4 linked regions of the Lonchura striata genome follow. The protein of the gene in region 2 interacts with the protein of the main gene of each other region in a pairwise test. Links are inferred from orthologs where the notes say so. Each region holds a gene or a part of one and is shown on either strand. Other genes may lie near its edges.

Evidence for each region.
Region 1: the proteins of LMO1 (region 2) and PTPN3 interact in binary tests that used the Homo sapiens proteins (3 or more experiments, as listed by UniProt). The two-hybrid records come from large-scale screens. The link is inferred for Lonchura striata from reciprocal best matches to the Homo sapiens genes LMO1 and PTPN3.
Region 3: the proteins of LMO1 (region 2) and SOX5 interact in binary tests that used the Homo sapiens proteins (3 or more experiments, as listed by UniProt). The two-hybrid records come from large-scale screens. The link is inferred for Lonchura striata from reciprocal best matches to the Homo sapiens genes LMO1 and SOX5.
Region 4: the proteins of LMO1 (region 2) and CBY2 interact in binary tests that used the Homo sapiens proteins (3 or more experiments, as listed by UniProt). The two-hybrid records come from large-scale screens. The link is inferred for Lonchura striata from reciprocal best matches to the Homo sapiens genes LMO1 and CBY2.

What each region holds. Positions count from the first base shown.
Region 1 is NC_134603.1:65,418,634-65,425,816, forward strand, and holds the start of PTPN3 (tyrosine-protein phosphatase non-receptor type 3), read left to right. Parts: upstream 1-4,183; 5' UTR 4,184-4,264; intron 4,265-7,183.
Region 2 is NC_134608.1:50,786,193-50,794,012, reverse strand, and holds the start of LMO1 (rhombotin-1), read left to right. Parts: upstream 1-4,817; 5' UTR 4,818-5,468; coding exon of another isoform or gene 5,469-5,493; 5' UTR 5,494-5,574; coding exon 5,575-5,617; intron 5,618-7,820. UniProt on the Homo sapiens protein: May be involved in gene regulation within neural lineage cells potentially by direct DNA binding or by binding to other transcription factors.
Region 3 is NC_134607.1:14,597,616-14,604,582, reverse strand, and holds the start of SOX5 (transcription factor SOX-5), read left to right. Parts: upstream 1-3,963; 5' UTR 3,964-4,107; coding exon 4,108-4,145; intron 4,146-6,967.
Region 4 is NC_134604.1:61,118,292-61,125,402, forward strand, and holds the start of CBY2 (protein chibby homolog 2), read left to right. Parts: upstream 1-4,098; coding exon 4,099-4,259; intron 4,260-4,333; coding exon 4,334-4,450; intron 4,451-6,972; coding exon 6,973-7,111.

The sequences.
Region 1 (7,183 bases), on a different chromosome or scaffold from region 2:
TTTTGTGATAATGAGAACATACTTTAAACCACTTAGGATTTATTTTTTTTAAGTTCACAATTGGTTTATGTTTTTAAATGTCTTGTGAACTTGAGATAAGGACAGTGGTTAGAACTCCAATGTCTCTGGAACAGGAGAGAAGTTAATTCTGTGCTTGCATATGCAGATCTATCTATAAGGCAGGCTGACCACAGCTCAGATTGTCAAATATTTTTCTTATAGAGATCCTGTTTTGTTACAAGTGTGCCAGAATGTAATTATTTGGGATGAAATTTCACATCATGAGTTTCTGCCTCCAGCTGAACTGATCATAATTTTGTCTTTTCAAGAAGAATTAAGATAAGGAATTGCTAATTTAAAACAATCACACAAACTCCTTACTAGTAGCCATCTTTTGAGAAGCTTTATCATGTCCATGATTCTGACAGCAAGGAGTCTTTTGTTGACAAGAAGGAATTCCTCCTAAATTTGGCTGATTGAGTTCTGAAAATCTGTATGTGCATGTGTGCACATATTTTATGGAATCATGGAAGGGTTTGGGTTGGAAAGAACCTTAAAGATCTGGTTCCAACCACCCTACCATGGGCAGGGACACCTTCTACTAGACCAGGTGGCTCAGACATCCATCCCCCTTGCCCTTTAACTCTTCTTGGGATAGAACACTGACAGTTTTTTACACTTGCACACTTTTCCTCAAATCACTACTGCTAACCTAACTGCAGAATTTATCTATATTAAAAATAACACTACTCACACTACTTTTTTCCTCATCAGGTTTTAATCTGTACCTGATCCCTGTCTAGGCAGCTGCTCAAACTGCCCTCAGAGATATTTGTTACCATGACAGCACTTCTGGGTGACGCTGAGGAAGTTACTCCAGCTGGACTTCTTTCCTCTGATCAGTAACTGAGCATTTTTTTTTTTCTGAGTAAACTGAGGTTCAGGTTGTGATTTCTTTTTATTTAAAGAAGTTCTCAGAGAAGTGAATAAACACACACAGAAATTTAGTTGAAAAACTGTGTCCTAGATGTCTTCAGCTGGATACTCAAGAGGATGAGAACAGACATCCAGTCTGTAGGGATTAACGTGTCCAGTGAATGGGAGATGATACTGCAAAAAGAGATCTTGTTTGAGTAATTACAGAAAATAATAATGCCTCAGCCACAAACGGTGAAAATAACAGACACAACTTTTATCCTGTTGTTTTTGTGGGGTTTGTTTGTTTGGGGTTTTTTTCTGAGAGGAGTAGTGGTTTTCCTTTTTAACTTGAGGTTGTTATTCTCATGGAATTAACATCTTGTCCACATTTTTGATTGTGTGATAAGAAAATAAATTGCACTCAAATAATTAATACTTATCTAATTTAGCACAACTTTAACAAATAGGTGATGAGTAGAGGATTCAGAAGTGTTTGCTATAAACTGATACCGCATTTGGAGGGATAAATCATCTCTTGGTGAGAGACGGTGCTTCTGTGGTATCCTATGTGTGCCAATCCTAGGTATTAAATTATTTTTTCTCTTCCATGGTCTTAATTACTATAGGATTCTCTGCCTTTCCCTAAAGTCAAGGAATTTGGGAAAGTGGCCTCCAAGAACAGAATTTTAAATTAAATCTGCAATCCCAATCAAAAGTGGGGGTTTCTCTTCTTCACTGGCATGACTGATAGGACCTGATGAAATACATAATAGTTTTTACTCAGGGAAAGATTGGGATTACATATTTCCTTCAAGGCCCACCAGCAGAATTTTCTGATTTTTGTAATGAAAGTTTTCTGCTGCACAGATTTGGACCTGAGTCCAGGAATTATACCACTAAATCAAAAGCCTGATGCACTCATATTTCAACTCTAAAGTCATCAGGCCCTGACTGTGATTAATTGGAATGGATAGGCTCTCATGCCTCTGAATTAATGCTCCTACACAACTACATGGGACTATGTGAAGGGCAAGATGCAGTAACCTTCAATATGAGGAGCAGCAGCGTGGCCCTCAGTGGTGTGTTCACTTTGTGTACTTGTTGTGTAGCACTGTTTTCCTGCAGTCTCTAAAAGAAAAGATGATGACTATTTCTTGCAAAGTACTTTGGAAAATACCAAGTATCAGTTAAAAAAAAAAAAAATTAACTTGCTTCCATGGGACACAAAGCATTAGATGGGTCTAATGCTCACTTATTAAGTGGGAGAGGTTCTGGTGGAAACATAGTGACCTAACGGGCTGATTTGGGATGGCAATGCCAATGCTTTTTGACACATCTATTGTTCCAGACTTAAATAAGCAAGCTCACATTCTGGAGTAATGTTATAGAATTAACAAGTGAACTAATGTTCACTCTGAGTCTCAGAAACTGTTTAATAGAATGAAGCCTGTCAATTAGTATTTAAGCCTGTCATTAGGATTTAAGTGCATGGCAAATTAAGTTTATGTACCTTTAATAAATGACAGGAGATTAGATTATTAGATGGTTTCCTCAAACATTTGGGAAAGATCACTTTTCAGGAAAGATCACTTATGAGTGTAAGACAGAACCATTCAGAGAAGCCTGTAGGAAATCTGCAAAATCCAATGAATCAGCTGTGCTGAGCAGCAGTGGGCATTGTGCCTGGTGGGAAAACCTGTGACACAGCTACGCTCCTCCCAGTACTCAAATTCAGATAGGCAGTACTGTGTAGACATGCACGGCCTCCCATTCTCCCTCTAAAACTGCCTCCCATTCTTCTGCCTTCACCGGAGCTGCTGCCTTCATGTTACTTTCCCCAAACTAACCATGAACGTGGCTCACTAGAAGGGCAGATAGCACAAGATAAGCACTAGATCACTACATCACTAGATAAGCAGATGGCAAGAGCTAAGTTGCATTTTGGAATGCCCTATCACCACAGCAGACATATTTATATTGTGAACTGCAGCACAGAGGTCTCTGAATTAAGCTTGGAAAGGCAATTTGGAATTTGAAACAATACAGCCGTGTCAAGGAATCATCTGATAAGCTTTTCTCGGGCTTGTCTCTGGGTTTTTTTTCCTGGATCTGGGTCTTTTGCAGGGAGTTTCTGGCGCATCGGTTCTCTCTCTGCCTGCTCCCACCCCTGCATTTGAGTTAACAGAAAAGGCGGAAGGCAGGGGGCAAAACAGATCAGGAGAGCACTATCCAAGCTTCACAGTTTAGGAGGGTTTTTCTGGATAATTTAAGCCGGACTGTTTCATTGATCTTATGTATAGTCTCATTAGCACAAGGGCACAAGGATCAAACACTTGAAAATTTCTTTACAACCAGAGAAAACATGCCACGGGATTGCTCGGCCATTGAAGTCCTCTGCTTCAGTTAATTAGCGCTGCAGAAAGGCTCAGCTAATTAGCATGGGTGTAGAGTTGCCCTGACACAGTTACTTCGCTCGCAGAGCCTGAGCCGATGCCTCGGGCACGGCGGTGCAGCGCAGAGCCCGGCGGGGAGCGGGGACGCGAGGGAAGCAGGAGGCTCCACACGCATCCCCACACCTTGGCCCGCTCGCCGCGCCCCGCCGGCGGCCAGACCTGCTCTCCTCCGGCGGGGAGAGGCGATCGGGCGGGCTGTGCCACCCGCTGCGGGCTGTGGCGACACTTCGCACCTCCTGTGCCGGCCCCGCTCTGCCCCAGGCGATGGCACGAGGGACACGCGGTTCCTCGTCGCCTGGCAGGGTCCGCCAGCCGGCGGTGTGCCCAGCTGGTGTCAGCCTCTGGAGCCGGCCCCCAGAGCTGCTTGTGCCGCGCTGCCAGCGGGCACAGCCGGGAGGAGCTGCGGGCAGGGAGGGACCCGGGCGGGACCGCGGCCGCCACGGCCGTGCGGAACAGGTGACGGCGGGGCAGTCCCCGCCAGGGCTGCCGCGGGGCGAGGGAAGGAGGCGAGGGAACAGCTCCAGCCCCGCCATCCGCGGTGACCCCGCTCCCGTTCCCCCTGCGGAAGGGCGGAAAGCGCCGAAGGGCTTCCAGCGGAGCCGGGCTTGGGCAGCGGCGGGGCGGGCCGGGAGCTGGGCCGGGCCCGGCCGCTCGCTCCCTCCGCTAGGGGGCGGGCGCGGGCGGCGGGCGCTCCTCGGCGCCCCGCCCCGCCCCGCCCTGCCCGCCCAGCCCAGGAGCCGGAGCCGGAGCCGGCGGCGGGAGCGGCTCCGCGGTGCCCGCTCCGCACCTGCTCTCCTCGGTCCGCACGGTGGCGGCGGCCGCGACGGCCGTGACGGCCTTCTGCGCCCCCTGGGGCAGCGGGGTGGCGGCGGCGGCGCGGGGCGGCGCGGCAGGTACCGGGCGAGGCGGCGGGAGCGGCGCGGGGCGCGGGGAAAGTTGGCGCCGCCGGGGCGCCTCCGGGAGGCGGGGGCGGCGGTGCCGCCGGGGCCGCCCCCGCGCCTCCTCCTCTTTCTCCTCCTCCTCCTCCTCCTGCACCTCGGCGGGGCGGTGAGTGCCCGGCCGGGCGGCTGGCCCCGCGCCGGTGCTTGGCTGTCCGCCGGCCCCGCGGGAGAGCGGGGGCGAGCGCTGCTCCCGGCGGCTGGCGCAGGGGAAAGCGAGCGGGAAGGTGCGCGGCCGTGCCGGGCTGGGTGTCAGCTCCCCCCCGACCGAGCCGTGCCGAGCCGAGCCGTGCCCTCGGGGGGCGGCGCTGCTCCGCTCCGCGCGTCCCTCCGTTTTCTGTTCCGCTCCGCGCCTTGTGTGTCTAGCACCGGCCACCGGAGGAGGGCACGGGGAGCGTCCCGTCCCGTCCCCGGGCTTTCCCCCCGCTCGCCTTTGCTGCCTGTTAATATAGGGCGAGTTTGGCTTCTTCTCTATTCCCGGCTTTTTTCCCCCACATCGTTGGCGGAGCACCCGTTTTCAGAGTATTCTCGAGCCCCGAGTGCCTCGGGCGTGTTTAGGAGAGAGACGAGCGCTGCGGGCGCAGAGCAGCCCTGCCCGTGCCCCCGACCGGACGGGTCTGCCGGGGGATAAGAATCCCAAAGCCCGGAGATACAGTACCACGACTAGTTAGCAGCAGCTGCCCCACCACAAAGGCTGCCGGTGCTCCACAGCGGTTACTTTTCAGCGTTTTGGGTGCTGACTTGCCCTGTGGAGATACAAAAATATCCAATATATCTAAGAAATATATAATATATCCATGTATGTCAAGTGTGACGACTATTTGCCTCATTGGTGTTACGGAACAGATGAAACAGCAGTAAAATTGGATACTTCTTTTAATATAGAATTCTCATTCATCTTGCAGCACTTCTTGTTTCCTCTCTTGAATGAACTTATCCAAAGTAATTAGCCAGTCTCTCCTTCTGTTGCTCCTTGCTTTCCTCTCTTTCAAAGATACAGTTGGGATTTTTTTGTCCTCCCTGCTAGGATGATCGCTTCCCTTGTGGTGCTCTTCAGCCTATCACAAATTGCTACTGCTCTAATACCTATGTAACAGAAAGCAGAACAAGTTAGTTCTTTAATGCTATTGAATATTGGTACTGCTACTCTGTTAGTCACAAACTGTCTTTCTAGTAGAAATACATATATTACTGAAGTATTAATTTTGCAGAGCATTGCATTGAAGGATTATTTATAAAATAATGAATGTAGATGTGTGGAATACTTACTCAGCTTTGGAGGGCAGCTGCACTCTCACTTGTTTAGAAACAAAATTTTTCTGAAACTAGTTGTACAAGAAGCAAGTTGTCCCTATTACCTGAGTGGGTTTGATCATAAGGGAAACAGTCAACAAACAGAACTGTGGGGAAGAAGAGTCTCCTCAGTCACCTCAGTTACTTATCTAAAAAGGCTTGCTTGCCAGTGCAACACAAATGCTAAATTTTTATGATGGTGATATTCTCTGGTATTGTCCTGTGGCAAAAATGTCTTGATAGGTTGGTGACAAATACTTAATACATTTTTGTTCTCTAGTTCATAAGAAAAAATGTAATACTCCACATAATTCTAAGTACACTTAATAGAACAGCCCTCATTTGAAGGACCAACTTGTGATGATAAGATCAATTTTGTTTCATTAAGCACCCTAATATTGCTGGCAGTGGATTCTTGGAAGAATTCTTTAACACTTGTCATCTCTCTCTCTGACTTAATAAGCATTTCTAATCCTTCCACATCAACTTTTTACGTATTCTAAGATGGGGACAGTTCATTATTTTAAGACATAAATTTAAGTAATATCACAGTTACATGCTGTACTTTGCAATACTTAACTCTCCACCTTCATGCTTTCAAAATATTTTCAGTACAAATTAAGATGCTGATAAAACTATTAAGTGATATGCTATTAAATTGCAAAGCTCCATAACTGCTTCTTAATTCATCATTTTGTATTATTGGTGTAATATACTTAAAGCAGAAGCAACAGAAAAGTAGTAATAAAAAAGCTAGCGGTAGTATAATTTTCTTCTTGAAGATGAAGATTATCTTGATTATCTTCTATGTTCATGAGTTACCATGTAATAAAGCATGTTTTCATCCAATCCAGGAGTCTAAAATATCAGCTGATTTCTAAAGATCTTGGGTGGACTGTTTTTTTAGTAGTCAGTATTATAGCAGAGACAGTTGTGCATAGTTTTCTAAGCTTGACCTACTTTTTACACTGATGGGTAAATGATAGCTTTACATAGGCACTGAAGGAGTAATCTTACATAGGTATAACACCGAAAGTCTTATGCACAGAAGTCATTAATGTTAAAATTCTCCAAGGTGGACTAAATACCGGTACAGTGAGCAGTTCTTCTGTTTTGTCACTTCATTCACAAATAATATTTGCCATGCTGGCATCTATGCATAGGGGTATTTGTTCATTAAAACTCAACCAGTTAAAAGTAAAGTGTAGTTAAGTGGCGATGAGGACCACAGTTACCAATCTCTTTGTTCTAAATGTGATAAATGTTAATTGTTAGTTTTATAGAAGCCTTGTGGTGTGGGTTTGATTTTAATTGTTGGGTTTCTTTTTCTTTGTTTGTTTGTTTGACTGAGAAACACATTCTCTAAGCTTCATGACTATGAACTTGAGAATTGATTTCTGTCAGGGGCAACACTGCTCATCTAGTGAAAAGTTTGCAAGGAAAATGAGAGAGCAACATTTTTCAGTTGCTTTCCCAAAACTACAGCTTTGAGTATATTAAGCAAAAAATATTTATTTTGCTTCCTCCTTGTATTTGTTGGTGTTTGCATCATTGGGTTCTCTTCTGGCTACATATGCATAG
Region 2 (7,820 bases):
CCGCTGCCCCCGCCTCGGCAGCGCCCCGGTGCCCGGCCCGGCGCCTCGCCCGCCCCGGAGCGCAGGGCGGCGGCTGGAGGGGGAGCGCCCCAAGGAGCCGGAGCGGCGGCGGCGGCGGCCGCCCTCGGCGCCCGGGACAATGGTGCTGGACAAGGAGGACGGTAGGTGGGAGCGGGGCGCGGGGCCCGCCGCTGCCGCCCGGGCGCCCCGGCGGCGGGCGGGAGGCGCGGACGGGGGTCGGAGGGAGGCAGCGGGGCCGGGAGCTGCCCCGCGCCGCGGCACGGCGCTGCCGCCCGGCCGGTCCCGCGCACAAAGCGGGGCCGGGGGCGCCCGGGACGGCGGCCCCGCCGCAGCCGCGGGTCGCTCTCCGCGGTGGCCGGGCCGGGCCGGGCGGGAGGCGCGGGTGTTCCCCGCGGGGGCACGGCCGCGGCCCCGCTGCGTGCCGCGGCCGGCCGGGGACGGTCTGGCACTGCAGCCCCGGCTCCGGGCCGCCATCAGCGCCGCTGCCCGCGGCGCGGGTCCCCGCCGGGCCAGCTGCGCCGGCTCCCGAGGCCGCGGGTGCCCGAACGCCGCCCCGCGCTCCCGCTGCGGGCAGGGCGGCCCTGCCTGCCTGTGTAAACGGCCACAGAACGCCCCTGTGCCGGGCTGGCGGGGGCTCCAACTCGGAAAAGTGGATGCCGGGCTCAAGAGACAAGTGGGAGATGCTCTCCTTCGCTGTTCCCTTTTTTTTTTTTTTTTTTTTTTTTTTTTTTTTTTTTTTTTTTCCCCTCCCGTCCACTCTACCTCTTCTCCTTCCCCTTCCCCTCGTCTTCTGATCTGGAGTTTCTGCCTCGGAACGGGGAGAGCCTGCCCGCCGCGACACCGCCGAGCGGGACGGGGCACGGAGAGCAGCCCCGGGCCGGCTGGTGCGAGCGGCCGTGCGGGAGGGGCCGGGCGCTGACAGCCGCAAGGTTAAATGCTCGCCGCTCCAGAGAGGTGCGTGGCGAGGGAGCTCGCTGCACGCTCGTCACATGCCTCTGGGCCCTCGGAGAATCCCTCTCCCAGCATCTTTTTTTCCTCCAGTTTCTTGAAGCCCTCTGAAGCAAAGCGATGCAGTGTTATTAATGGGGTCTGGAGTGCTCACATGTGTTGGAGAAGAGGGAATGAACTTATCTAACTGGTCAGTGAGAAGTAACAGTAGAGACTTTCCTCATCCTTCGCCCCCTGTGCACTTAGGTAAAAAGATTAAGCAATGACCGAGGAATTAAACACGGGCAATTTCTTACTGGTGTGTGGAACACGGTTTGTGTTTCTCTCCAACCTCACTTTCAGGGGTAAGCCTGCGTTGCAAGAGTCCCCTGAATTTTGCTTAGCTGCTGGAGGAAAAGGGAGGAAGGGCTCTTAACATCTCTATTAATACCCCTTATTAATAATAACGGGGTGATGTCTTCATCCCGGTGGCTCTCTGTCAGGGGGTGCCTGCCAGCCCGCGTCTGTTTCCGTGTGATTGACAGGCTGCCAGCAGGATGCTGCCTCCATTGCAGGGGCGAGAGGCACAGGTGAGCTGCGAGGAGAGACCGAGATCTGAAGAGGGTTTCCTAATAGGGCTGTTTGGGCTCTTTCAAGTGTCTCAGACGTACTCATTAAACACGAAGAGCTCGGGAATGGCCTGACGGTGCTGTAAGGAAATGAAACTAGAACCCCTGATTATCCAGACAGTTCTCAACAGCCTCCTTCCAGGAGATTTTATGAGTGGCTGTGTGTAAAAGGGAATAATGGTGGTGGGTGGGAGAGGTAAAGAGGAAATTAGTGCGGGATGCACTTAAAAAAGGAGCAAAGTAGGAAACAAACTGATGAGAAGGATGTGAAGATCAGAGCAACAAGGTGCAGTAATGCCTAAGACTCTCCTGTGCTGTTGATGGAGTAGTTACGCTCGAGGAGAAATTATGGTCACTTTTAAAGGTGTCCTGGAGAAATAGGGGATAGAAGGTGAGACTCAGAGGAGAAACTCGTTTTATGAGGAGGTCATTTTACCTTTGTAAGTTTCTTTCTGCCTGAGTCAAATGGGCTCCACTTGCCCGCTCATCTGTGAATGTTGAAAGGGGATGCTGGACCTGCATAGGTTACAAATGGACTAAAATGGAAGCTTTTGCTAACTAAACCAATTCCTTTTGAAATCAAGCTTGAATGAGCTTGTTGATAAAAATGGGTCTGTTTCACTCCCATAAATGGCTCTTTTTCTTTCCTTTTATTTTTCTTTTTCCCAGAAGCCGGTCTGACTTTTACCATCTAAAAATCCCAGCGTTGTGGCTACTATCCAATTCTCCCCTTGATTTAAGAGGCTTTGCCATGTAGAGTTTTTCTTTGAGGGGTTTTCTTCTTTAGAGGTCTCTGGCAGCGGTGGGGGTATTGATAGTTACTACTGCATAGAGGAGCAGGATTTCAGGTTTACCCCTCCCAGAAGTCCTGGTGCATCACAAGGAAGACACTTGCTGCCTTGTAGACATGAGCCCCTTGGTTTTGCATCCCTGAAGGCCACTTGGGAAGCTGGGCCATGGCCACTGGCCTCAGGGGCAGCTGCCCACTCTTTCAGCTTGGCGCCTTAGGGCTGTGTGCCAGCCCCAGTGTGACACCAGGATTGCCCCAGCGGTGCGATAACTGCAGATTTGTGTTTCCACTGCGGGTTTGTGAGCAAAAAGCTTCCTTGGCGAGCACGCTCTGTGGTGCAGAGAAGTAGTAGAGACTCAATAATACTTTTCTGTGGGTCTTCACGAATATCATTGAGGATGAAGGGGCAGACTGAAAAAATAACAACAATAATCATGTTTCTGACTTGATATGTTGTGGCAACACGTCAAGTTATGTCAGGGAGGTAACAGCATTTTGTATGTTTGGAGTGACATAATATAGCTTGACTGATGCAACATGACTTGATATTAGAAAATACTGGTTCACAGTGGAACTCTGGCAGGTATCTTCCCCGAACAAATGTTAGCAACTGAGAGAAGAGGGACGAGAGGGGTGGGGGAGAGAAAGGTTGAGAGAGAAGAACTTCAAGGTTCTCATTTTAGTCAGTTCCACTGTGTAAATCACAGCAGAATTTGCTGTGGGCAAGCCAACCTACGCACCGTGCAGCGCATTTATATATTTCAAGATAATGAGAGTTAAGATATTTCTGAAATACGTAAATGTTTTGATCGCAAAGACCAGATTTCTGCTTAAAAAAGTAAACTGACATCAGGTAGCATGATTAATTCCAACAGATTGTGTTAATTGTAGTTGACTTAAATTGCTGTACAAATGTGTTGGGGGTTAGAAAACTTTTTTTTTAATTGTTGGTGTGTGAAATGAGTAAGCAGATAAAGTGTTTAAAAAAATCTGTTTGCACAGGGAGTAATCCAGCCTCTATGACATGATGGAGCAGTAAAGGAATAAAATGTACATTGATCCGGTACTGCATATTTTTTCATGAGTGCATTATGTCTGCTAGTTTGCTCTGCTGCAGAAGTCATCTGTGACAGACAATAGCTAACTTAATTTTTATCAAAACCTTGCCTTTCTTGTAGTTACTAAATAGTGGAAGTTGAAATGTACCATATACTTTGGGGTAAGTCTGTCCTTTTTGAAGGTGGCAGGATTGAAAAGTACACAGACAGATGGAACATTTTTGGAATTCACCATTTCCTGACAGAGGCCAATAGTATATTGGAAATGGTGAAGTGCCTCAAATCTAAAAAAGGCTGTGGTTTTGTTAGTTTTTGCTCAGATCCTTTTAACTATTAGACTTTAATCTTTGGGATAAAGTCCTCCTCCTTTCTAGCTTGTGACACTTCCTAAAAGAAAGTGATTATTTATGGTGGTTGCACTCTTATGCTAAAATACATATTCAGCACTTGCAAACTAGTATCACTAGGATACAGGAGTTGTTGGAAGCACTAGATGAAAACAGCTCAAAGTGAACCAATACATTTAACATCAAATATTCTCAAGGACTGTTAGGATTAAGTATTGTGAATGAAGGGGGAAGGAAAAGCCACTTCAGCTGGGGATAAGGAATCTAATTAAAAATTGGTATTAAGGATATATAACTTGATCCCGCTATCATGCTCTTTAGAGTACCGTTGTATCAGTTGTAAAGGGGAGGAAGAAGTATCATTAAAGCAGAAATGAAATGTTTTCTCAGATTAAAAGACTGAGATGAGTGAAACGGTGCTGTTGATCTTGGTAGCGAAGTGTCTGATCCCTCAATCCTTGCGAGAGCCATTGGAGACAACAGATGACTTGTCTGAAAACGGAATGAGAGTTGCAGGATGTAGGATAAAAGATGTGGGGCCCCAACTTGTCGCTTTATATCTGAGCATTGATGGCATTTCTGAAAAGGGTTTGTATCGTGTTTGATTAGGTAAATACAATTTAATATCGACCTAGTGAAAATGGAGCTGAGTTCTCCGGAGTACACCCTGAAACTAATACCGACGTGTGAAAACAAACCCAAAATGTTTGTGCGGAAAAATTAGTATCAAGTTTTAGGTCACCAGAGACGCGTGAAACGCAGCTGGGAGCAGCGGGGCTGGCGTAACTCAGCCGCGGAGAGTTGAGAGCCTCTGACCTGCCCGAGCTGCTGCGTGGCGCCAGACACAATCCCCGCTGGCAGGGAGCGGGGCCGGGGCAGGGCCGGAGCATCCCCCGCGCATCCCCGGAGCATCCCCGGAGCATCCCCGGAGCATCCCCCGCGCATCCCCCGCGCATCCCCGGAGCATCCCCCGCGCATCCCCCGCGCATCCCCCGCGCAGCACAAGGCGGCGGCGGCGGCGCAGGTGGCCCCGGCCGGCGGCACCTGGGCGGGGGCCGGGCGGGCTGCAGGTGGTGCTGCTGAGCCGGGAAGCCGCGCTCCGCCAGGAAATCCCGGCAGGAGCTCCGGAGGGGGCCCTGGGAAACGCGTGCATTTATTCATCGCAAGTGTGCAAGGCTCACCAATTGAGAGGCAGAGGCAGCGCTGGTCGGGTTTAGGCATTCTAGCCTCTCCGAATGTAATTTCGGATTTAGAGTCAGCTTAAATCCAAAGGGAAAACACTTTATAAGGCTGAAAGCTGTGTAGTTGCAACTGCCAGGGTTATGAGCTATCAAAGGCAATTACATTAAAATAGATTATACTGTGTAAATTGAGCCATTTAGAAGGTGAGAACCAAAGAAACAGCTCTGATCCCCCTTCTTTCTAAATTGCAGTTTTAGTTCCTTGCAATTCTGAGGCACAAAAGTAGGTGAGACTGCTTTTGTATCTGCAAAGTGCTTTATTTCTGAGTGTAATTCTAACTGAGTGCAATCTAGGTTAAAAGCTGGACAACTGGGTAATTAGAGCTCACTTGCTGCTAAAGGACGATCAGCTGTACCGTAGCTCATTTGTGTTCCCAGAGACTTGCTCTCCTCTCCCCTGAGCGGAGGCTGCTGGAGAAGAAGCATCTGTGCCCGGACTTTTCTTGATTGCGGAGATGATGGTGCTGGACAAGGAGGACGGTAGGTGGGCTGAGATTGTGTAAGCCTGTGCTCGGTCTCTTCTGTGTGCTGCTAATGTAGAAATAAATAGTTTTGAAACAGATGTGCGCTGTGCATTTCAGAGCTTCTGATGTTTTTCTCTTGTGTAGGTGAAAGCATGCTTGCTCTTTATTTTATTTTTTTTTATATCTCATCTCTGACATGATCGGACAGCCAACACGGGTTTACTCCGGGCTCTGTTTGCTGAAGGACATAGCAGAAACAGCTTGATTTTTTTTGTTTTTTTAAATATCTATGTAGATTTTTCTTTCTGCAAGTTATTCTAATATATCCATTTTAGCCTGTTTGTTTTTACAGCTTTTATTGTAAATCTAATTTTGAGATTTTTCTTTCCCTTTCATTTGCATGCCATTTAGGTCTCTTTAATGTGCGCCTTTAATATCTATTTCTCACAGCTTTTCTTCATAGCTATAAACATAATGACAATAAGCTAATAAGCCTCTGTGGCAAAAAAAATAAAAGCGTTGGTTTATTCTAAGAATTTACTTCCTTCTTTTAATAGCAGAAGTGGAGGTTCATTTGGGATGTAATTTCATGAATGAAGCAGAAGGAGAGCTTGACTGATTTTAAGACTTCACATATGCTTATTTTTTTAAGCTGACTAGTCCTTATCAAGGATGCTTAAGGGCAACAAATTGATGTGAGGAATATCAGTGTTAGTTAGCAGCCTGAATGACCTGATGCTATCTTTTGCACGTTGCCTGCCAGGGTGTGCAACTTAACTGCTCAGTCATCAGTAGTTTCTGGGATGAAGCTGGTAAGTTCCATCAAAACTTTTTAATGAGGTCTTTTTTTTTTTTTTTTTTTTTTTTTTTTTTTTTTTTTTTTTGCTGAGGCTGTTTTGTGGCTAAGGTCTTCCCTCATAGCTTGTACACTGAAAGCAAGGATTAAAACTGAGGCAGAGCAGAAGGCTTCTGTGGCCATCCACATGGACTTCCATCCATGGCGCTGCCGCTTCCAAGGACCTCCGCCTTGGTGGCACTTTGTGCGTGGAAAGTGGGAACTGCGTCTTAAATTGTACCAGGCATTTCTACCTGTTATCTCCTTATTTCATTCCACCTGTATAAATGGATAAAGTGGACCATGTAATGGATTTACCCGATCTTTTAAAATTTATTTCAGGAACCTCTTTAAGTGTTAAAAAAATAAGGTCATAGGCTGTTGCCATTCGAAAATAAGGGAAATTACTAAATATTTGTAAGACTGTAGACAAGAAATAGCTTTTTACAAGGAGCACAAGAGCTTGGAGAAATTGGGAGTTGGGCATTTTGTCAGTAGCATTGATTTTATTTGAATATATATATTGCTTTTTAAAATATTTATGAGAAAAATAACTTGTAATTCAAAGTCACTTACTTTCCTGTGTCGGAGTCATGCTAACTGTGTTTTGTGACTAGTACTGAAAGCTGCTGAGTACTATTAAGTTGAAATTATATGATTTTTATTCCACAACCCATATCTCTCTCCTAGTATTTTACAACTGAATTAGTACTGCACTGGAGAATAATTAGGAAGGCTTGACTATTGAAAGACCAGAAGTCTTCTGCTAAAGTTTCTCTTCCCTCTCTCCTTTCCTTGCCTCGCAAAAAAGGGAGTGTTTTAGACCTAGCATTTTGAGTTCTTACCTCATTATAAGTTTGATTTCTGAAATTCTCCCTCTGGCATGTTCACGCATGTAGAATCTGAATCTAGTTTCTGGGATGGTTTTGTTTCATGAAGCATTTGGGACAATGTGGGATTTTCACAAAGACTTGACACCTTTAAAATACAAGACCAAGCAGAAATGCATCATTTTGAGTGGCCCATTGTATGCAGATTCAATCAGATTTGGACTAAGAGTTGACCAATGCGAGATCAAAGTCCCTGTATAAATTGTCATGCCCTTCTGAATTTATTCCATGCTAATTAAGTTGGTATCTCAAAACTGTGAAATAATCTTACTTGTGGGGAGAAAAAAACCTAAATCATGGGCTTTATTTCTGTTAAGAAATTTAAGTTCCTTTGTTAACGCAGTAGTACTTGAACAAAAAAATGAGTAGATGTGGAGCATCTGTTACACATCTTCTAGATCAGCTTTGCAGTTGACTGGCCTGTGGATAAAAGACACGCTAAGTGCTTGAGTATTGCTTATGCTGGGAAAACAAACGAAGCTAACAGGGTTTCAAAGGCTTTGAAGCAGTGTCACTCTCAGAGGTGTTCAGTTGTTTTCTTTGGCAATATAAGTTGAAGCAAGCTAGTTTACTTTATTAGAGGCATAAGGCTACTCTTGTAACCTTCCTCTGACTAAG
Region 3 (6,967 bases), on a different chromosome or scaffold from region 2:
CGTGTTATGTACATTTTCTTCTTTCTCAGTGGCTATTTATCCGAATTTTTCAGTTTTTCCACTTTCTGATGTGCTAGCAGACTTTGTGATGTGTCCTGACAATTTCTAAAAAGCAAGCTAAAAGTCAGTATGAAATTATTTTTAGAAGGGTTTCAAGATTCCCTCAAACCACTTAACTTGCCTTTTCTCCATCTTGCAATTGCAGTTGAACTTCTTATGAGAAAGTAATTTCATCAGAAAGTCTATACTTAACTGTCTATATTCTAGTAATATATATATTATCCATATAATCCAGTATAGGACAAGGATACCATACTACAAAATTACTATAACAGTAAGTTGTTTTTTTTCTCCTCTTTGGACATCACTCTGTTTCTCCCCAGTCATCTGGGAGCAGGAGCTCAGTATTTGCAGAAAACATAAAATGAAGGTAATGGGGAAGAAGGTACCTGAGCACAAAATGTATTGGGGTAAGAGTAATTGTAAACTAGGTTAAGTAAAAGAAGAGTTCATGTCAGAACCATTCAGGGGAGAGATCTCGATTTCCTTTCTTCCTTCCATTTCCTCTCCCCTTTTGAGCCCTTCCTTTTCCTCAGTTATCTTAGTTTTCTCTCCCACACTTTTCTTTTTTTCCTCCTTTTAATAGGGTTCTTTCTGCTTCTTCCTCATCTAGCCCATGTCTTCTTCTATAATTCCTGATGTTGATGGTGGCTGCTCTGATTTATAATCATATTAGCTGACAGCCAGCAAACCAGGAGCCCCAGTGTGCTAGGAATAATACCAGCTTGGGGGGTAGTATGTGATCATTGTCCTGAAAAAGCTCAGATGAGAAGTGATATGTGAATGGGGTACATACATGTGAACAGACAAAGGAAGGACATGGTGGAAGAAGGACAGTTGTGGAGTGGAGCTGAGTTGGTAAAAGGATAAGAGCTTAGACCTGAATGGTGCTTAACGTGCAAAGTATTGTATTCCTGTTCTAACTGAAATGCTCGAGATTTATACTTCTTTTAATAAAAGGTGGTCTTAATTTTCTTCCAGATGTGTCTTCTGTGTGGCTTCACTCTGTAAACTTCTCCCAGGGCCAGGCATGAGGGGTAGCAATAGAAATAAGGGAAGCAAAGCATGAGCTGGGACAGAAGGAACAGCATTTATGGATGGGTAGTGGTGCATCAAGGGGAAAATGAAACACCAAGAAGAGGGGCCCTACAGAATGTGACTACAGAAATGAAGCATGTTTTAAACAAAACAGTAAAAGTAAAAAAAATCTGTGGGGAAAAAAGCTCAAATATACATATATATATATAAGTATATATATATATATATACACACACATATACATATACATATATGTATGTTTCAGCAGCATGAGGGCTGTTGTTGACTGTGAGACATGTGGGGTCTTTGTTTTTCATCCTTTTGCCAGAGTTGACTAAATGTGTCAACTTGGGCAAGCTCCTAAGCCTGCCTGCATCTCAGTTTCCTTATTTGAGGCCAAATTCTCTTACTAAGTAGCCTCCTACTCCACACAGAGATTTGCTGATTTGAATGGAGCCCCTGCAGAGTGAGATACTTTTCAATACAAATAAAGTTTTGGAATCGGCCCTAATTATATTTATTACCTGCAGAGGAGTAATGTGATACTTAACATGGTTTGAGACCCTCAGATGAAAGAGAAAGTGTTTGGAATTGTTCTTTTTAATAATCTGCTGCCTTTTCAAAGTCTACTTCATGGCTGTCCTAAAAGGGGTAGCCACTAAAAAACTAATGAAAAATCCGTGTAGATATTAACAAGTTTGTCAGGCTCCCATGAATGGACCCTCTGTGGAAAATCTGATTTGCTGGGGGCTACCGAAGGGAGGCGGCTTGCCTTGCCCTACGGTGAGGAGCCCCATTAGATCTCGCTCATGCCACAAGTGGACGGATTGTGCTCGCCATGGTGGTGGAGGAAGGCAGGCTCTGCACATCCTCCGCTGTGCCTCGGCAAAGCTGGCTGCGTCGCTCGCTCCGTGCCGCGGTCGGGCCGGGCGCTCCCGGCGCTGATGCGGACAAGTTGGGAGTGGGCTTGCTCCCGGTGATTAAAGCCAGCAGCCCCTACTGATATCCCAGCTGATAATGCCTTTATACCAGCGCTGGACTGACTGGCCTCTGCACGAGCCTGCTGGCTTCTAACATATGCACCGGGAGTGAAAAGCACCAAATTAAACAGCGTAGCTGTTGGATATTAAAAATAATAAGCTTTTCTATTTGGCATTTTTCTTAAGCCAACGGGCATGAAAATGTTGAAAGTTTTATGGATGCTCCGTGCAAATACGTGTATGTATTTCAAAAAGGAAACTTGCTGTCTCCGTGCCACTCGGAGGCAGGGATGAGAGGGGTGGCAATGGACCTAATCAAACTGTTCGGGGGTCAAAACCACGTGGGTTTTAAAGGCCCTTAATGTTGTCCAGCTGCAGATTAAAGCGGTGAGGAGAGAGAAAAGAATTAGGGCAGGGGAAAGACTGGGGTATAGATACGTGGTCCTGTGTGGGTGTGTGCGCACGTGTGTGCGAAAGAACAGGGCGCCCGATTTTTCCTTTTTTTTTTTTTTTTTTTTTTCCTTTCCCCTCCCGCCCCTTACTGCGAGTTCAGTGCCAAGCCGGACCCGGGCCGCGCAGACTATTGAGGCTTTGTGTGCTCCGCCGGCAAAGTAGCCCCCGGCTAATCCCCGCGGCTCGGACGGGAATTTCCCCGCGGCGCTCTCCCGGCCGCTGCCCCCGGTCCCCGCTGGGGCGGATCGGGAGCGCCCCGCCCGCCGCACGGAGAGGGATGCGGCTGTGCCCGGGCGAGGCGGGGGCTGTCCCCGCGTGTCCGAGGCCCGTTACCTGCCTGCCTTCCTCGCCTGGCAGATTGTTATCTGGATAATTGGAAGTGCGGCGGAGGTTGAGCTCCGCCAGCCAGCCCAGGGGCTCTGCAGCCGCGCCTCGTCCACCTTGTTATCAGGGATTGTCTGGGCAGGGGAAATGAGAGGGAGTCACGACCGAGGGACTTCTACTGCTCGCCCGGAGAGTAGCGGGGGGAAAAGGGGGGGTGTGATTAAACAGAAAACGAGAAAAGCCCTAACAGATGAACAGAAAGTTTATTTTTGTTGTTGTTTGAACATCCGTGTGTGCGCGCCCGCTGTTTTGGCATGTGGCTACCTTTTCCCTTGCACACAACAGGGCTATTTGATGGAGTTTGGAGCTGAGGAAACTTTGGGTTTGTTGCCGGGACGGTTCGCAGCACTTTGTGGAAAGCAAGAGCTAACAGTGAGACCGACAGAGTGAGTGACAAGTTGTTTACAGGTTTCCTTGAAGGGGCCTCTGCTATATTTCAATCTGTCAAAGTTGCTTTTCTTCCTTCAGAACAATGCCTGATTGTTGTGCGGGTGATTTTTTTTTTTTTCCCCTACCCAAAGAGAGAGAGAAAGAGGGTAAGCGAGAGACCGGGAAGGGTGGGGGAAAAGGAATGAAAATTCTTTGGAGCACAAATGCCTTTGGTAACATTTTTATGTGTTTAATCTCTTCTCCTCTATTTCAACTCCGAGAGTTGATAACTGTCTCAATTTAATCAGTCTGCTCTTGTTTTATCTTCTTTCTCCACTGATCTTCCTCAGCGTAGGGGATTTGCTCCTGGTTTGCCGGTTTAGGTGGATTGTCGGACTGCTTTTTCTTTTTCCCCTCCTCTCCCCCGCCCCCCCCCGTCCCCCCCCCCCCCCCCCCCCTTATCCCCTCCACCCCTCCACGTTTTTTGTTTTTTTTAGGACATTGAAGGAGTTGACTTTTCCCGTTTGGCGGCGGCGGGCGAGCAGAATTAAAAGAAAAGGACAGGCCCCCGGAGGTCGCGCAGCGCGGCGGGGGGAGCTGCGCGCTCATCGTGCTGCGAGCGCGCTGCCCCTTTAAGAGACTGGTCAAGGAGTCCTCGCTCAGAGCGAGCGAGCCGGGAGGGAGGGAGAGGGAGGGAGGGAGAGAGAGAGAGCGAGCGAGAGAGAAAATCAATCGGTTTAGAAGGTTTGGACTCACTTGACAGGTTCAGTTGGAGGCGACCATAGGTGGCTGCTGTGACAAAGGGAAATTGTGCTTTTCCAGCATGCTAACTGACCCTGATTTACCTCAGGAGTTTGAAAGGTGAGTCGAGTTGTTGGGGCGGGGGTGTATGTATGTGTGTGGGGGTGTCTCTTCCCCGTGTTTTCTTTCCCGTTCTGTTTCGTGCTTTGTTATTGCATTATTATTTCCATTTTTTTTTTTTTTTTTAATTTATCCGAGCACGCCCGTTGGCGCACGTGTGCGCGGATGGGCAGCGGGCACACGGACACGCGGGGACGGGCGCGCAACTCGGGCGCTCGGCGGCAGGAGGCCGGGCAGAGAGGCGCTCCCCCCGCGCCCATCCGCGTCCCTCCGCGCTCCCTCGCCGCCCCGGCGCCGTGTCACTGACCGGGGTGGCGGGCGCCGCCGAGCCCCCGGCCCCGGGCGGAGCGCCCGCGGCGCGCAGCTTTGTTCCGGGGCCGCAGAGGCTGCCGTGCCCTCCTGCCGCACACCCTCCGCTAGCCCAGCCGGGCGGCCGAGCCACCTTCCTGGGCACAACCTCCCCTCTCCTGCCCGGGGACTTCCCGCAGAGCGGTCGGAGGATGCCCGGTGGCGGCCAGGCTCCCGGGCATCTTCTAACTTCCAGCCTCAGGCTCCCGTCAAACTTGGGAAGGCGCTCTGCCGAGCACATGACCTTTTGTTGATCTAGCAGGAGCTATTATTTTTAGGCAAGTTAACATCCCAGCCCTCCGTCAGGAGAACATCTTTCTGCGTGAGGAGAGAGAGGTGGGAAAAATAACCCAAAGGGAAAAAGAAAGGGAAAAAGTGAAACTCTTGCCTCCAAGTTTTGGCCGTCGCCTCTCTCGCGGAGTGTCAAGAGCCGGGTCTGGGTATGACGAGCGGGCTTCGGGTATGACGTAGATGTGCCCGTCTCCCCCTGCCCGAAGCAGCAGCCTTCCCTGCTTGGAATCAAGTTTTTGCTGTCATTGCTGGTGGCTTGTGACCTCCGAGAGTTCAGTCCTTATTTCATATGATCTGCTTCTCCTGAGATGTTTGGAAGCGTTTTCTCAGGTGCTTGTACGTCCGTGCGTTCATGGTCCTGCATCCCTCCCCTCCGGCTTCTCTTTTAAAGGTTAATAGCCCCATGTGCGGCTGCAGTAAACAGTCCAAACTTTCATTTCTAAGCAGTAAACGAAAGAATGCCAGGATGCGTGTTACTGAGGTTTTTCTTGTCTTCGTGAGGTTTTTCTTGTCTTCTCCTGTATAAACATTTGGTTGTATCTGACTATGCAATACAAGCTAGGTGCTAGACCAGCTGGTTAAAAATATGCTAAGTCAAGCTGTTCATCGTTCAAACCTACTGAATTTGATAGTAAAGGCATAGAAAAGAAGGCAAGATAAAAACATTTAAGTGGGCTGAGGAACATACATGCAAAGGAAGGACAGGAAAGAACACTTGAATTAAAAGATCGGAGAAAATTAAAATTTGGAAATGCAGAAAAGAACTATTTTAACACTTGCAATCCTTGTTCTGAAACTAGAATGCTTCCTTACTAGAAAGTGAAATTGGCTAGGTTGCTCTACTCCAAGGTCATCTTTAATGCAATTAATTTTTCAGACTTGGAATACTTGGCATTTTCCTTCGGTTTCTTAGCATTACAATAATAGGACAAAATTGGTTTTGTTCACGTGTACTGTATTAACTTAGTTCAACTACCTGAGGAAACTGTTACTGTTTCTGATGTCAAATTTGATCTGGCATCATGCTCATGCATTTGTTGTTTTCATGCAATCGATAGATTCAAGTATTTCATGTGCCTCACTAAGTTTACACATAGAAATTTATAAGCGAGTGATTTTGATTATTCTCTGAACTTTGTGATGAACACAGTGCTTGTAAACTCTCTGAAGCAGAAAGAAGCCCTTTCATTTTCCTGCTGGGGACTTTTTTCTTAGCTGAAGTCTCTCTGCATTATAAATATAGATATTTGTATAAATTTTATATATAAACAAGTCATTTGGGGCAACCATCATCCTTAGAATGAGCTTCTCTACTCCCTTCTTTTTTCTTTTTTTTTTTTTTGCCCCTAGGCATAGGTTTCATTTTCAGAGATCCAGCTTTGCTCTTGTAAACATTCTAGTTAAATAATCAATACACTGCTCTCCTTTTGCCATGCAGATAACAGCAAGCAGTAGAAATGGGAAGCAATAAAAAACGAACCTCAGGACGTGCAATTTTTTTGAAATTTTTTTTTGAACAATTTTTTTTCTGCAGTTGAAATTGGGGATAGAGACCAGTATCTTTGTTAATCATTACCATTTGTTTACCTTGCGTGTGTTTGACTATAGTCACACACACACACACACATTCGGAGACCCAGGCAGTGTCCATGTAACGTGTGTGTGTTTGTCAGGGAACAGCCACGAGGACATACTTCCTTCTGCACAGACAGGGATCCTCAGACCCACAAATGCCTGTGGAGCTGGCGTGTGTGCGTGTGTGCACGATGCACAGATCATTGTTTTCTAGGTGTTTATGGTAGGTTCTTTTCCTTGGATTCTCAGTCAGCACAGTTCTTGGAGCACATTTCTGCAGTCGCTTGGGGTTCAGCTTGTCATACCAGCGTGTCCCACTTCAGTCCTGTTACTATTACCCGTCTCCCACTGTTTGTTTTTAAACTTGAACAGCAACCGACAAGGAGGTAAAGATTTGTCAGGCAAAGTTGTTTGCAGCTCAGAGCATCCGTGTGTCTCTCAGGAGGTCGTTTCTCTTTGCCCATTGTCTTTCCTGTGAGGTTTTGGTGTGTCTCAGTAAGCTGCAAACACTTCAGAAACTTTCAGTCACCCCAGCTGAAGAGAGCTGAATTCAGGGGGCTTCTCTTCTGTGTCTGTGGCCATTAGCAGGGGGAATTTGCGGTACGCAC
Region 4 (7,111 bases), on a different chromosome or scaffold from region 2:
GCTGCAGTGACCACAAAATTATGGCGTTAGAATTTTTGGATTGAGGAGATCACAAAAATCTCATCCGGACTTTGAGAAGGCAGACTTTGATCTCTTCAGGAATCTGCTTGATAGAATTTCCAGGAAGGATGATGGGCCCAGAAAAGCTGGTTAATAATCAAGGTTAACCTCCTCAAGCTCAGGAGTGATGCATCCCAACAAAGAGGAAGTCAAGCAAAAATGCTGAAAGGTCTGTGTGCATGAACAAGGAACTCCTGGACAAATTTAAACATAAGATCTGGGTTTCCAGGTTCCTTGATAGTTCCTTGGATATTTTACATGGGTTTTGTGATTCTTCATGTAGTGTTGTTTATAGTAAAGGGTCTAGAAAGTCCTAATGGAATATTATTTTTTTAAGGTGATTGCTTCCTCTTCAGTAGAGCTTTTAAAAGAAAATGAAATTATTAGACTCCAGTTGAACAGATCCTTATTAAAATAGGAGCTGGTCTGATAATGACTTAAATTGGTGCTACGTGGCCATCACATGTTATTTGATAAGCATTCCATTTTAATTAAGAAGTGGCTAATAGACAATTAATATACAGGATTACACACTTAGCTAATTAGATGATTTAAATTTTTTTGTTAGATTAAAATGTACAGGACCCCATAAATCACTGTTAGAGATTGCTTAATAAGCCTGAACCCTTAATTTTCTCCCTGTCAATCAAGAATGGAGCCACTGATTTTCCCTCTCACCCAAAGACTTGTCACATGGAAGACCTGCTCTGTGTTCAGAATGAGCTGAAATGCCCCCAACTCCCAAACACTGCACCTGTTTGCAGAACCTCAGAGCTCAGGTGCAGTCAGCAGAGACCTGATCAGAGCAGTGGTGAGGGCTGGAGCATCACTTGGCTGACAAGTCGCTGAGGGCTCAAGTCTGTTTCCCGAGCACTCGTGCCTGCTGCTGTTTGGGGTTTGTGGCTATCAGAGATCAGGGACAGCGTGTCCCTGCTGGCAGACCTGCCTCTCCGGGTGCCCCAGGGAGGCCCTTGGGATACCCCATGCTCACACGTGGCACACTGAGGTGACTGTCCCCTTCCAAATTGTCCCTATGTACAGGAAGGCTCCTCCAGGGGCAATGCCAGCTCTGCCCCTCTCCCTCAGAACAGAAACCAAGTGCATCACTGATCCTTGCTTCTAGCATTAACTCAGCAGTGAACAATGGGCTCTTTCAGCCTGTGGAGTGCTCCGTAAATTGTGATCTGTTCAGACAGAACTAGGAGAGTGACATGGTAATTGGGCTGGTTTTTGTTAGCAAGGCTCACAGAGGCACAACACACTGGAACAGAGTTGAGAGGAAATGGCTTAGAGTTGACCAAGAGATTGCACATGGGTTTTGATGATTTTTTTTTCTAAATATTCATAGCTAAAGTACAAAGCAAGCAAAGTGAGAATGAGATCAAAGGTGGAACAACACAAAGCCTGACATGTCTGTAAGATGTCACTTACTAGCAATAGTAAAATGTTTTGCTTCACCCTGTGAAACATGTGTATTACAATCAGGGGATAAATAAGAGTGGTGTGTAGGGCTTCTTTGCTGTCATGCTTTCATGTTCAAGGCGCTTCACAAAGAAGAACTAAATTCTCTTGACAGCTTACATCAGAAAGTCAGCATCTCAAACTCATTGAGAACCTGAGGAAATGATGACTTACCCAATGTCTAAAATAAAATTAGGATCAGAGGGAAGATATGAAAGTAGATATTTCCACCTTTCATTTCAGCTCTCAGCTGACCCAGTGCTGACAGGAGAATGCAGGGTTGGTGATTTGCACAACACTGGATGTTGTGAGGGTTACACTGAGACGCACTAGCAGCAGCACTCTGATAGTGTCCCTGGAAGGACAATTAGTCCAAACAGGGAATGACATAGGTGTGTCACTCAAGCCATTTATTTGTCTTTAAAAAAAACTGATCTGGAGTTTTTCATTATTGATTTTCACACCGCTGACTGTCTGTTCCTGGGCAGAATACAATGCTGAGATATTATCAGACATTTCACTCCCTCAGAAACTGAGAAAACATAATTTTTACTCCCTGCCCAGCTGTTGAGGTCAGGAGATGATTCAAGAGCACTCAGATATGCAAGAGTCTTTTTAGTGACTAGGTGGGATTCACATCCAGGCTTAATGCCCTGGAGAACAGTGGATGAATGTGTGGTGAGACCAGCCTGCACTGGATTGAACAGAGGCTGGTATTTCAAAAGCACAGATGTGTTTGGCACGGTAGAAAGTGGCAGCAGATGCTTTTGGTTCTATAAAATAAAGATTTGGGAATATAGCATGAATTTTTCTACACAACATTCCCCCCCGCCCCCTGCCCCTTGCCCCCAATATTATTTACACTTTAGACACTTTGCCAGATCTTCTAACCCAAAAGCAAAGGATGGAAAGGGCTGACATTTACTGCTGGTATATGCCTCTATCTAATAAAAAGGAGACTGGTATGGGGTTTTCAGGGCCCTTCTTGCAAAATCTTCATGGCAGCAGTTCATACCTTGCTCTTCCCCCTGGCTTTTAACCCATCACTGGATGGTGACCTCTAGTACCCCAGCACGGAGCATGGAGAATATTATATGAGTGTGTTTGGGATCACACATCCTTCCCACTGAATCCTTTCTAGAACCAGACAGTCTCCAAGAAGGACAGCAAAGGTCAGCTGAGCAGCCTGGTATAAGGTGTGCAGGTAGGATGGAGAAAAAAGGCTTTGGTTCCAAATAATATTTAATTCTTTGTGTAGTGAAACATCTTTGAGAAATTGAGTGGTCTGAAGCTGTGGACAAAACACTCTGCTGGCAGGTTAGCTCAAACCCTTCTCACAGAGCAGGGGTTACTTTTCTCTTGGCAGGAAGTGGAACACACTCAGCATTATTTCTGCCTTTGTAATCTTGTGAATGACATCTCAGTCCTTTTGAGAGCCTAACTCAGAAATCAGTGTAGCTGCTATAAAAAATTCTGCTGTGAGCTGTTGCAGCATTTCCAATTCTGATGTGTGCATAAACACATCTGATGATATTCACTAAATTTGATCCAAATGTATTGGCATTTGAATTCATAATTTTCAGTAAAAAATTAACTTGGCAGAGGAACTTTACAAAACTTTAAGGAAAATACTGCATGAGAAAAGCAAAGGTACGCTCAATATCAAGTTAGTTCTCCATGGTTCTGGATTAAGCAGCTGCACTTCTTTCTATTAATTATGTTTCTAGTCAGCTCTTGGACCTTAAAATGTTCATCAAAGGTCACTTTCACAGTCCACAGCCACAGTTCTTCAGAAATTCAAATTGGATATTTCATCCAATCTCCTCCTGAAAAGTGTCTGCACTGGGTAGAACTCTTAAATTCCCATATGATGGCAGGCCAAGCACAAATAGCCCATATAAAATATTTTCTCTTCTGAGGACATTTTCTGTTTTCCTGTGCGGGATCCTGGAGCTCAAATAAAGAAGGATACTCCCTGGGGAGTTGCCATAGTAACCTGTGATGTGGTTTTGTTGTCTAAGATTACATATAAGCAAGGGAGCAATTACAGAGAAGAATTTTATACCTGAGTTTATAATTTTCATATAACACCAAAGCTGAACTATACCTTCAAGTTCCTAAAGCAGCAGCAGTCTCCTTGAGGGTGATGTCAACTTAGTAATTTTCACTGAAAGAGAATTTAAATGCTGTATTTATTATTCAAGAATCCTGATTACAAAAAAAAAAAAAAAAAAAAAAAAAAAAAAAAAAAAAAAAAATCCATTTCTGGAAGATGTAGCAAATAAGAAAGACTTCATTAGAAATGTAAAGATGTGGAAGTGGAAATGGCTGCTACAAATAATATCTAAACCTGCATGTGCGAATGTCTTCTATATTCTATTTTCTTCTTACTTGGATTCAGCTATAATCTGCTCTTAAACTTATAGTCAAAGAAAAACTTCATGTTGTCCTTGGAAAATAACTTCAAATCCCACAGCACATGCAAGGACGAGATTTTTGAATGTATCTATATCAGTTCAGCAACAAACAGAATTTGAAGTTTCAGAATAAAAGCAAAATTTGTTTTAAGAGGGTGTGATGGAGAAAGAATCCGTCCAAACTATTCTCAGTTACGAGCATCAAAGGGAGATCGGGAAGTCTGGGTTCAGGAAAGGGCATGGGAGCCGAGCTAGCAGAAAGGTCATTTCCATGAGAAGCAGCCCAGAAGAGCAACGCTGGGAGAAGCCCAAGCCAGTCTTGTGAGAACAGCGTGAAGTGAGCTGTGCAAGGAGGGCGTGCAGGAGCTCCCATCCCCTGGAGGCTCCTGGGGCAGGTGGCTCCCATCAGTGCCCGGTGCCCGGCCGGGGAGGCGCTGGACACGCCGGCAGCAGCGGGAGCTCAGCGCGGCTGCGGCGCTCGGCCCCGCGGAGAGGGAGCGCCGCGCCCACAGGTGAGCGTGTGCGGCTCCTAGTGCCCCGCTCCCAAATGCCCAGCCTGCCTTGGCGTGGCGGGGCTGCCCCGCAGCTGGCTGCCTTGCTCATCCGCCCAGCTGCCCAGCATTTCCTGGGATTATTCAGAGATGGGGGGAAAAAATATATATGGGAGGCACTGAGATCTTGAAGGGTCCCTAAAGCTTGGGTCGATGTCTCCCTGGCAGTGCAAAAGAGCTGACAGAGCCACTGTCAATTTAATTGTCCCCCAGATAATGTCGTATATATTATACATTTCTGTTTATCCTGAAAATGTGCAATCTAAACACTTTCTCTGTAAGTGACTTTAAGAACTGTAGCTGTTTGTCCATGATAGGCATGTGGGTCCAGGCTTCTGATGCTGGATGTGTTCTGCATCTTCCCTGGTTAATTAGAGGTCTGTTCCCTCTGTGGCTGACTTGCCCTCTGCCCCTTCACCCCTCACCAGGCCCAAATTTTTTAGGGCTTTTGGGGGAAAAAATGGGACTGGGCACCTCAGTGGAATGGGATGTGTTGGAAAGGCTGCAGGGGAAGGGTGTAAGGGAGGGAGCAATGCATGGCTCTGGACATAGTGTAAGTGGGAAACAAAAGTCCAAAACAGAGTTTTTGGGAAATACCTTTTTAGCAGAAGAATGATGTTATGAAAACACAAGTCTGACATGAGATAAAGCAGCAGATGATATGGAAGACAGCCCTGAAATTCAGACAGTAAACAGATTGCAATAAAATCAAACGTAAATGCACAGAGACCTATATTGCAATAACCCTCTCCTAAATGAAGGAATTTTGGATTTTAAATGACACAGTAATTTTATGAGTGGTTGGACAAATTTGGGAAGGGGGTACAGGATGCATCTCTGGATGTTTGCTCTAACAAGTATCTTGGAGGAGCCTGGACATGCAGTGCTGTTTGATGAAATGACAGGGAAAAGGGAGAGCAACAGGAAAGGGCAACAATAGGACAGGAGGTGCACACTGGGATGACAGAGCTGGAGGCTATAAGGGGCTCATGTGTGGTGGTCACCCTCTGCTTAATGCTTGGGGTAGAAACATGAGGGCAAGATTCACGAAGGTAAAACTTTCATCACAGACAGAAAGGCAGAACTGGGCTTTCCAAGGGACAGCAGGGAATCTGCAGGACCTCAGCAGGAGGAGAGGAATACACCTGAGTGAAATCTGACAAGTAGCTTTATTTTTTTTTTCACCTAGAAAAAGGAACATTTGTGCTATTAGAAACTCTGTGCAGAAACCCTGAAAGTTCCAGCAATTTGGTTATAAAAAATAGTTCAACCTCAGATCAAATAACTTCATCATGAAAATCACATAAATTTAATATTTTTTTTTTAATTTAGATGCAGAAAACAAGCTTTTCTTTAGCACAAAACAATAATTTTTGATTGTCTGGTTGGTTGTTGTTTTTTTTTTCCCCCCACATAAAAGACTGAAATCCTTAATTTGCCCCAGTTCACTCATGGTTAAAAGATAGTTTAAACTGCAATATTTTGGGTAGAGGAAAGGAGGGGAAAGTATTCAACAGTTAAGTCTGAGGTTTCTGTGTCTGAAATGAGAAGCATTAGAGGTTTGGCCCTACAATATGGATTTTAGAGATGAGTTTTCTGATGATGTGAAAAAGAGGCAGATGGACTGTAGGAAAAAGATAAGCAATCACCATTGCAGGGCTAGAAAGCAAGAAAAATAACAGAACTATCAAAGAATATAAAGAGTAAGAGTGACAGGAAAAATGAGAATGAAAGGTGGAGAATTATCTATGGGTTGTGACAGTTTTTGGACCATGGTGAAGGGAGCTTGTAAAAAACCAAGCGAAGAACAACAAATCTCTGATGTCCCAAAGCTTTGGTTTGTGCATATTGTGGAATTTAAGATCAAAAAGCAAAACTGTCACTGCATTTTTGTGGCATCCTGTTAGCACAGGCTACTCAGCATTAGCAATAAAAAACTCTCAAGGCCAGATTTTTTCTATGAACCTTTAAAAATGCTTTATTTTAAAAAGGTTTTTTGAGCCTCATAACAATTTTTAATGTGTTTGTGCATCAGTCATTTGGGAGCAGGCTATTCTGAGGCAGAAAATAGTCTTGCATTTTGCTCCCTTACAGGTCTGTAAAAATGAGGTAGAGAGATAAAGGGGAAGTGCATGCTTTAATAAGAAAGACTTTAGTACTGCCATTGTGCTGCTTTATCTACCAATGCCATTTTTCTCAGCTTCTATCAGCTAGGTATCTGATGGATTCCTTACCTTTCAGCATCAAAGGGGCAACATGGTTAACTGTGAGAACTGATTTATTCACTTGTTCTGTCACTTGTGTAGTTTAATTCTGATTTGGAATTTTGGCAGTAAATCTGCACATTTGTGTTCCCTGTTCTTTCAGTCCTAATCAAGCTTCTGCAGCCCCACTGTGTCACCTGCTCCTTGACAGTGGTCAGTGGCCTCTTATAGAAGCCCTGGAAAAAGCTTTTTTCCACAGTCCTCTTCAATTTGCTAAAGAAGGGCAATATCTGCCTTTGATCAGAGGAGCCAGAGCATGCAGCACACAGAGCCTGAGACAGACTGCATCACCCCTCTGGTGAAGCCAAGGGGTGAGACGTTTGTGTTTATTGATGGAAAATGGGTGAATGACATCTAC